Linked DNA regions of Anolis sagrei. The protein of the gene in region 1 interacts with the protein of each later gene in a biochemical or structural test. Links are inferred from orthologs where the notes say so. Each region holds a gene or a part of one and is shown on either strand. Other genes may lie near its edges. The genes, in order: MYO18A and GOLPH3.

The links.
Region 2: the proteins of MYO18A (region 1) and GOLPH3 form a complex in vitro, tested with the Homo sapiens proteins (2 studies listed by IntAct). The link is inferred for Anolis sagrei from reciprocal best matches to the Homo sapiens genes MYO18A and GOLPH3.

What each region holds. Positions count from the first base shown.
Region 1 is NC_090031.1:34,158,282-34,162,207, forward strand, and holds the start of MYO18A (unconventional myosin-XVIIIa), read left to right. Parts: upstream 1-1,210; 5' UTR 1,211-1,355; intron 1,356-3,926.
Region 2 is NC_090022.1:281,124,296-281,128,221, reverse strand, and holds the start of GOLPH3 (Golgi phosphoprotein 3), read right to left. Parts: upstream 2,760-3,926; 5' UTR 2,591-2,759; coding exon 2,336-2,590; intron 1-2,335. UniProt on the Homo sapiens protein: Phosphatidylinositol-4-phosphate-binding protein that links Golgi membranes to the cytoskeleton and may participate in the tensile force required for vesicle budding from the Golgi.

The DNA.
Region 1 (3,926 bases):
AAAGTCCCTGACAAAATGAAGGGAAGACATTGTTGTTGTTGTTGTTGTTACTATCCTCGTCCTCAAAGTGGGGTTTTTAACAGGAGTGAAAAAGGTGGGAAGGTGTGAGGAAGGTATAGAAGCAACAATAACAACAACAACGGAATGTGGGAGGAAAGTGTGGTTGTGTAGAAATAGTATCAATAGAGAAAAGTGTCAGGAAGTTGTAGGGTTCAGAATGTTCTTTGATTGTAGGTGAACTGTGAATCCCAGTGACTACAACTCCCAAATATCAAACTCCATCTGTGTTCATATTTGGGCGTATTGAGTGCTTGTGCCAAGTTTGATCCAGATCCATCATTGTTTGAGTCCACAGTGCTCTCTGGATGTAGGTGAACTACAACTCCCAAACTCAAGGTCAGTGCCCACCAAACCCTTCCAGTGTTTTCTCCTGGTCGTGGGAGTTCTGTGTGCCAAGTTTGGTTCAATTCTATCGTTGGTGGAGTTCAGAATGCTCCTTGATTGTAGGTGAACTATAAATCCCAGCAACTACATCTCCCAAATGACAAAATCATAAATTTTTGAGTGATGATCACTCCTTGTGTTGTGAGACGTTTTGTTGCCAAATTTGGTGTGATTTCGTTCATTGGTTCTTTTGTTTTTAAGGTACTCATTATGCAGTGAGTATTTATATATATATATATGTCATATATACTCATAATTAATAATAAAGGTGTGTGTTTGTGTAGAACTATTATATCATATAATAATAATAATGGTGTGTGATTGTCTAGAACTATATATATATATATATATATATATATAATTAATAGTAGAGGGAGGAGGGAGGAAGGTGTGTGGTTATGTAGAATTATGATGATGATGATGATTATTATTATTGCTATTACAAAAGGGTTTTGGATAATGTTAATAATAATAAGGCTAAGAAGAATTCTTCTTTTCCTTCCTCAGGGGGCGGAGCCAACGGAGGAGGCGGAGCCAGTGGCATTCATTGAAGGGGCGGAGCCAATGGAATCAACAAAGGGGGCGGAGCCAGTGGCATTCATTGAAGGGACGGAGCCAATGGAATCAACAAAGGGGGCGGAGCCAGTGGAATTCATTGAAGGGGCGGAGCCAATGGAATCAACAAAGGGGGCGGAGCCAATGGACTCAACGGAGGAGGCGGAGTCAAAGGAGGGGGTGGAGCCCTGCGAGGAGAGGGCGGAGCTAGCGGAAGGGGCGGGGCTTGTGTGAGGCCTGCCTTTCCCGGCTTGGGCCTGCCTCTTTCCTCCGCCTTCGCCGGCTCACAGGCCCGCCCGGGAAGGAGAAGGAGAAGCCGAGGAGGAGGAGAAGCCCAAGACAACGCCGCCACCCCGGTGAGGAGCCCACCTGGGAGCGGGAGGAGGAGAAGGGGAAGGGAGGGAGCTTTCCTGGGTGTGAGCCTTTCCCTCACATCCACACACACTCGGGTAGGTGGGTGGGTGGGCCCACACACAACTTCAAAGGCCTCCCTCCCTCCCTCCCCTTTTGCACACCTGGCAGCACACCTGCCTTCTTCACCTTCTTCAGAACAGAAGCTCAAAAGGAGGAGGAAAAGGTGGCCTCTGAGCATGTGAAGAGAGAGGGAGAGAGAGATGGGAGGGGAAAGGAGCAAGGTGTGTGGTTTGTGCACAGAAAAGGAAAAGCATGGGTGGGGTGTTGTGGTGGTTGCAAGGGGCCTGGTCCAGCCTCCTTTAGGCTTATAAACTGAACACAATAATAATAATAATAATAATAAACTATATATATATACACATACACACACTACCCAGTCTGTGTATATGTGTTTTGTGTGTATGGCCCAGTCTGTGTAAATGTGTTTTGTGTGTGTATATATTTGTGTGTTGTTGTGATTGCAATAGGCCTGGTCCAGCCTCCTTTAGGCTTGTAAACTGAACACAATAATAATAATAATAATAATAATAATAGTAAATATAATAGTAAATATAATAATAAATATAATAATATAATATAATAATATAATATAAATAATAATTATTATATATATACTAGCTGCCATGCATTGCTGTGGCCCAGTCTGTGTATATCTCTGTGTGTGTGTGTATTTGTGTGTTGTTGTGATTGCAAGAGGCCTGGTCCAGCCTCCTTTAGGCTTGTAAACTGAACATAATAATAATAATAATAATAATAATAATAATATAATTATAATATAAATAATAATAATCTATATATATACTAGTCGTCCCCTGCCACGCAATGCTGTGGCCCAGTATGTGTAATAATACATAATCATCATCATCATCATAGAATCAAAGAGTTGGAAGAGACCTCATGGGCCATCCAGTCCAACCCCATTCTGCCAAGAAGCAGGAATATTGCATTCAAAGCACCCCTCATCATCATCATCTATATATATGCTAGCCATCCCCTGCCACGCATTGCTGTGGACCGGTCTGTGTATATGTGTTTTGTGTGTGTGTATATATTTGTGTGTTGTTGTGATTGCAATAGGCCTGGTCCAGCCTCCTTTAGGCTTGTAAACTGAGGATAATAGTAATAATAGTAATAATAATAATAGTAAATATAATAATAAATATAATAATATAATATAAATAATTATTATTATATATATACTAGCTGCCATGCATTGCTGTGGCCCAGTCTGTGTATATCTCTGTGTGTGTGTGTATTTGTGTGTTGTTGTGATAGCAAGAGGCCTGGTCCAGCCTCCTTTAGGCTTGTAAACTGAACATAATAATAATAATAATAATAATAATAATAATAATAATAATAATATAATTATAATATAAATAATAATAATCTATATATATACTAGTCGCCCCCTGCCACGCGATGCTGTGGCCCAGTATGTGTAATAATACATAATCATCATCATCATCATAGAATCAAAGAGTTGGAAGAGACCTCATGGGCCATCCAGTCCAACCCCATTCTGCCAAGAAGCAGGAATATTGCATTCAAAGCACCCCTCATCATCATCATCATCTATATATATACTAGCCATCCCCTGCCACGCATTGCTGTGGACCGGTCTGTGTATATGTGTTTTGTGTGTGTGTATATATTTGTGTGTTGTTGTGATTGCAATAGACCTGGTCCAGCCTCCTTTAGGCTTGTAAACTGAACATAATAATAATAATAATAATAATAATAATAATAATAATAAAAACTATGTAATATAAATTATATATATATATATATATATATATATATATATACACTAGCCGTCCCCTGCCACGTGATGCTGTGGCCCAGTCTGTGTATATGTGTTTTGTATGTGTATATATTTGTGTGTTGTTGTGATTGCAATAGGCCTGGTCCAGCCTCCTTTAGGCTTGTAAACTGAACATAATAATAATAATAATAATAATAATAATAATAATATGTAATATAAATAATAATAATAATAATAATAATATATATACTAGCCGTCCCCTGCCACATGATGCTGTGGCCCAGTCTGTGTATATGTGTTTTGTGTGTGTATATATTTGTGTGTGTTCAGACTTGTAAACTGAACATAATAATAATAATAATAATAATAATAATAATAAATATATATTTATATATACTCTCTCTCTCGCTCTCTACCCAGTCTGTGTATATATGTTTTGTGCGTTTGGCCCGGTCTGTGTATATGTGTTTTGTGTGTGTGTATATATATGTGTATATATATTTGTGTGTTGTTGTGATAGCAATAGGCCTGGTCCAGCCTCCTTTAAGCTTGTAAACTGAGCATAATAATAATAATAATAAATATATAATATAAATAATAGCCATCCCCTGCCACGTGATGCTGTGGCCCAGTCTGTGTATATGTGTTTTTTGTGTGTGTTCAGACTTGTAAACTGAACATAATAATAATAATAATAATAATAATAATAAATTATATATATATATATACTCTCTCTCTCTCTCTCTCTCTC
Region 2 (3,926 bases), on another chromosome or scaffold:
ATTACCTTCCCGCCGAAACGGTGCCTATTGATCTACTCACATTTGCATGTTTTTGAACTGCTAGGTTGGCAGAAGCTGGGGCTAACAATAGGAGCTCACCCACTTCTCCAGATTTGCACTGGTACTGTGGCGCAGCTGGCTGCGGAGTCAGCTGCATTAAGATCACTACCGATCGAAAGGTCATGAGTTCAGAGTTAGCCCAGGTCGGAGTGAGCTTCTGACCAATTTGTGTGGCTTGCGGTCGACCTTTGCAGCCCGAAAGACAGTTGCATAGGTCAAGTAGGAAATTTAGGTACCATGTAAGCAGGGAGGTTAATTTAACTAATTTACGACACCATAAAAATCTTCAGTAAGCATGCAAAGAATGAGAAAGTACTTCATCAGTGTCACAAATGGACGGTGAAGTGACAGCTCCCCTGGTGGCCAGAATACTCTCATCAAAGCTGGAATGTTAAGTAGTCTCTGTGTGTCTGTCTATATATGTTGTGTGTCTATGGCATTGAATGTTTGCCATGCATATGTACATTGTAATCCGCCCTGAGTCCCCTGCAGGGTGAGAAGGCTGTTTGGCTGTTTGGCTGTGCATTTAAGTAATCAGACCTAATTTGCCAAATAGTCACTATGGAATGTTTTTATGTTGAATGTTTTTATATTGTGTAAATGCTATTTTAGATTGTAAGTCGCTCAGAGCACCTTGGTGGAGAGCGACTAATTAAGAAATAAAGTGAAGTGAAGAGAAGCGAAGAAGGGTGGAATATAAATACTGCAAATAAATAAATAAACAAACAATCGACCTTTCAGTTAGCAAGTTCAGCAGCTCAGCAATTTAACCCACTGCACCACTTGAGGACCCTCCCATATCTATATCTATAGATAGATAGACACTCCACTTGCCTCATTCCCACAGACCCCTGAACACACCTCTGTGGATGTTTGCCACAGATGTAGGCAAAACATCAGGACAGAATGTTCCTGCCACATAACCATGCAACCTGGAAAACTCAGCCTCACCAAACTACAACTCCCAGAATTCCATAATAGTTAAAGTCATGTCAAAAGTGCCTTTATTGTCGAAGGCCTTCATGGCCGGAATCACTGGGTTGTTGTAGGTTTTTTTGGGCTATATGGCCATGGTCTAGAGGCATTCTCTCCTGACGTTTCGCCTGCATCTATGGCAAGCATCATGAGATGGCATGACACATTAGACCTCACCTCTGAGGATGCTTGCCATAGATGCAGGCGAAACATCAGGAGAGAATGCCTCTAGACCATGGCCATAAAGCCCAAAAAAACCTACAACAACCCAGTGCCTTAATTGTATGGTGTCAATGCATCCAGGTCTGGGCCAACTTCGGCCCTCCCTCCAGGGGTTTTGGACTTCAACTCCCACAATTCCTAACAGCCGATAGGCTGTTAGGAATTGTGGGAGTTGAAGTCCAAAACCTAGAGTGAGGGCCGAAGTTGGCCCAGGCCTGCTCTGGAGTCTTGTCCCCCAAAAAGCCCTCCAAATGCGGCCTTATCTGCAAAGAGTGCTGGTGCCTCACCAAACTACAAGTCCCAGAATTCCGTAACAGTTAAAGTCATGTCAAAAGTGCCTTCATTAGGTTCTTGTAGGTTTTTTCGGGCTATAGGGCCATGTTCTAGAGGCATTTCTCCTGACATTTCGCCTTCATCTATTGCAAGCATCCTCAGAGGCAGTGAGGTCCTCACTGCCTCTGAGACCTCACTCCCTCTGAGGATGCTTGCCATAGATGCAGGCGAAACGTCAGGAGAAATGCCTCTAGAACATGGCCCTATAGCCCGAAAAAACCTACAAGAACCTAGTGATTCCAGCCATGAAAGCCTTCGACAATACAGTGCCTTCATTGTATGTTGTCAATGCATCTAGGTCTGGGCCAACTTCAGCCCTCCCTCCAGGGGTTTTGGACTTCAACTCCCACAATTGTGGGAGTTGAAGTCCAAAACCCTTGGAGGGAGGGCCGAAGTTGGCCCAGGCCTGTTCTTGAGTCCCCCCCCCCCAAAAAAGCTGTGCCAAAGAGTGCTAGTGCCTCACCAAACTACAACTCCCATAATTCCATAACATGTGAAAAGTGCCTTAATTGTATGGTGTCAATGCATCCAGGCCTGGGCCAACTTCGGCCTTCCCTCCAGGGGGTTTGGACTCCAACTCCCACAATTCCTAGGAATTGTGGGAGTTGGAGTCCAAACCCCCTGTAGGGAGGGCCGAAGTTGGCCCAGGCCTGCTCTGGAGTCAAGCCCCCCCCCCCCCCCGCAATGCGGCCTGCTTGTCCAGGCGAGCCCGGCGTCGTGGTGGTGGTGGTGTTGGTGGGCGCACCTCTCGGTCCTTGAGGCCCAGGAGCAGCACCTCCTCCATGAGCGTCAGCCGCGTTTCCTTGGAGTCGCCCTTCTCCTCGTCGCCGGCGTCGTCCCTCCGCCCGTCCTCCTCGGGGCCTCCTCCGGAGCCGGGCCCCCCGCCGCCTCCTCCTCCGCCCAGGCCTCCCCCGGCCACCCGGTCCTTGTCGGCGGCGCTGCGGGAGGCCTCGGTGCGGCGCTGGACTAGGCCCGAGTTGCGCTGGGTCAGCGAAGTCATGGCGGAGGGGAGAGGGAAGGGGAGAAGAAGGAAGGAGAGAGGGAGGCTGAGGCAGAGGCCCGGCCCGCGCTCTCCTCAGGAGCCAAGCGACGGCGGCGGCAGCGAAGGCTTCTCTTCCAATATGGCGGACCAGGCTTCCCTCCGCTGACGCCAGAAGAGGAGGAGGAGGAGGAGGAGGATGTGGCAGCAGGGAGGGGGAGCTGGAGGAGGAGGAGGAGGAGGAGGAGGAAGGCCGGCTTCACAGGCCTCTCAGGCAGCAACCACAACACAACACGCCCCCAGGTCTTCCCCTCAGGTTCTGCCCAAGCCAAGCTGAGGTAAGCTAGACGCCTTCCCTTTCCTCCTGCAAGATGGTGTTGCATTTAAAGAAGTACAAACAAACACAGATGCACACAAACTCTGTATGTGTTTGACTACATCTTTTGTTGTTGTTCATTCGTTCATTCGTTCCCGACTCTCCACGACAGAGCTCCCTGTCGGCCGTCACCACCCCCAACTCCTTCAAGGTCTATATCTACATCTATCTATATACTAGCCGTCCCCTGCCACACGTTTTGTTATTGTTCATTCATTCAGTCGTCTCCGACTCTTCGTGACCTCATGGACCAGCCCACGCCAGAGCTCCCTGTCGGCCGTCACCACCCCCAGCTCCTTCAAGGTCTGTATCTCCATTTATCTATATACTAGCCATCCCCTGCCATGCGTTCTGTTATTGTTCATTCGTTCCAGACTCTTCGTGACCTCATGGACCAGCCCACGCCAGAGATCCCTGTCGGCCGCCACCACCCCCAGCTCCTTCAAGGTTTATATCTACATCTATCTATATACTAGCCATCCCTTACCATGCGTTTTGTTATTGTTCATTCGTTCCAGACTCTTCGTGACCTCATGGACCAGCCCACGCCAGAGATCCCTGTCGGCCGCCACCACCCCCAGCTCCTTCAAGGTCTATATCTACATCTATCTATATACTAGCCGTCCCCTGCCACACGTTTTGTTATTGTTCATCCGTTCAGTCGTTCCCGACTCTTTGTGACCTCATGGACCATCCCACGCCAGAGCTCCCTGTCGGCCGTCACCACCCCCCGCTCCTTCAAGGTCTATTTCTTGTTGTTGTTCATTCGTTCAGTCGTCTCCGACTCTTCATGACCTCCTGGACCAGTCCACGCCAGAGCTCCCTTTCGGCTGTCACCACCCCCAGCTCCTTCAAGGTCTATATCTACATCTGTCTATGTACTAGCCATCCACTGACACGCGTTTTGTTATTGTTCATTCATTCAGTCATTCCCAACTCTTCGTGACCTCATGGACCAGGCCACGCCAGGGCTGTCGGCCG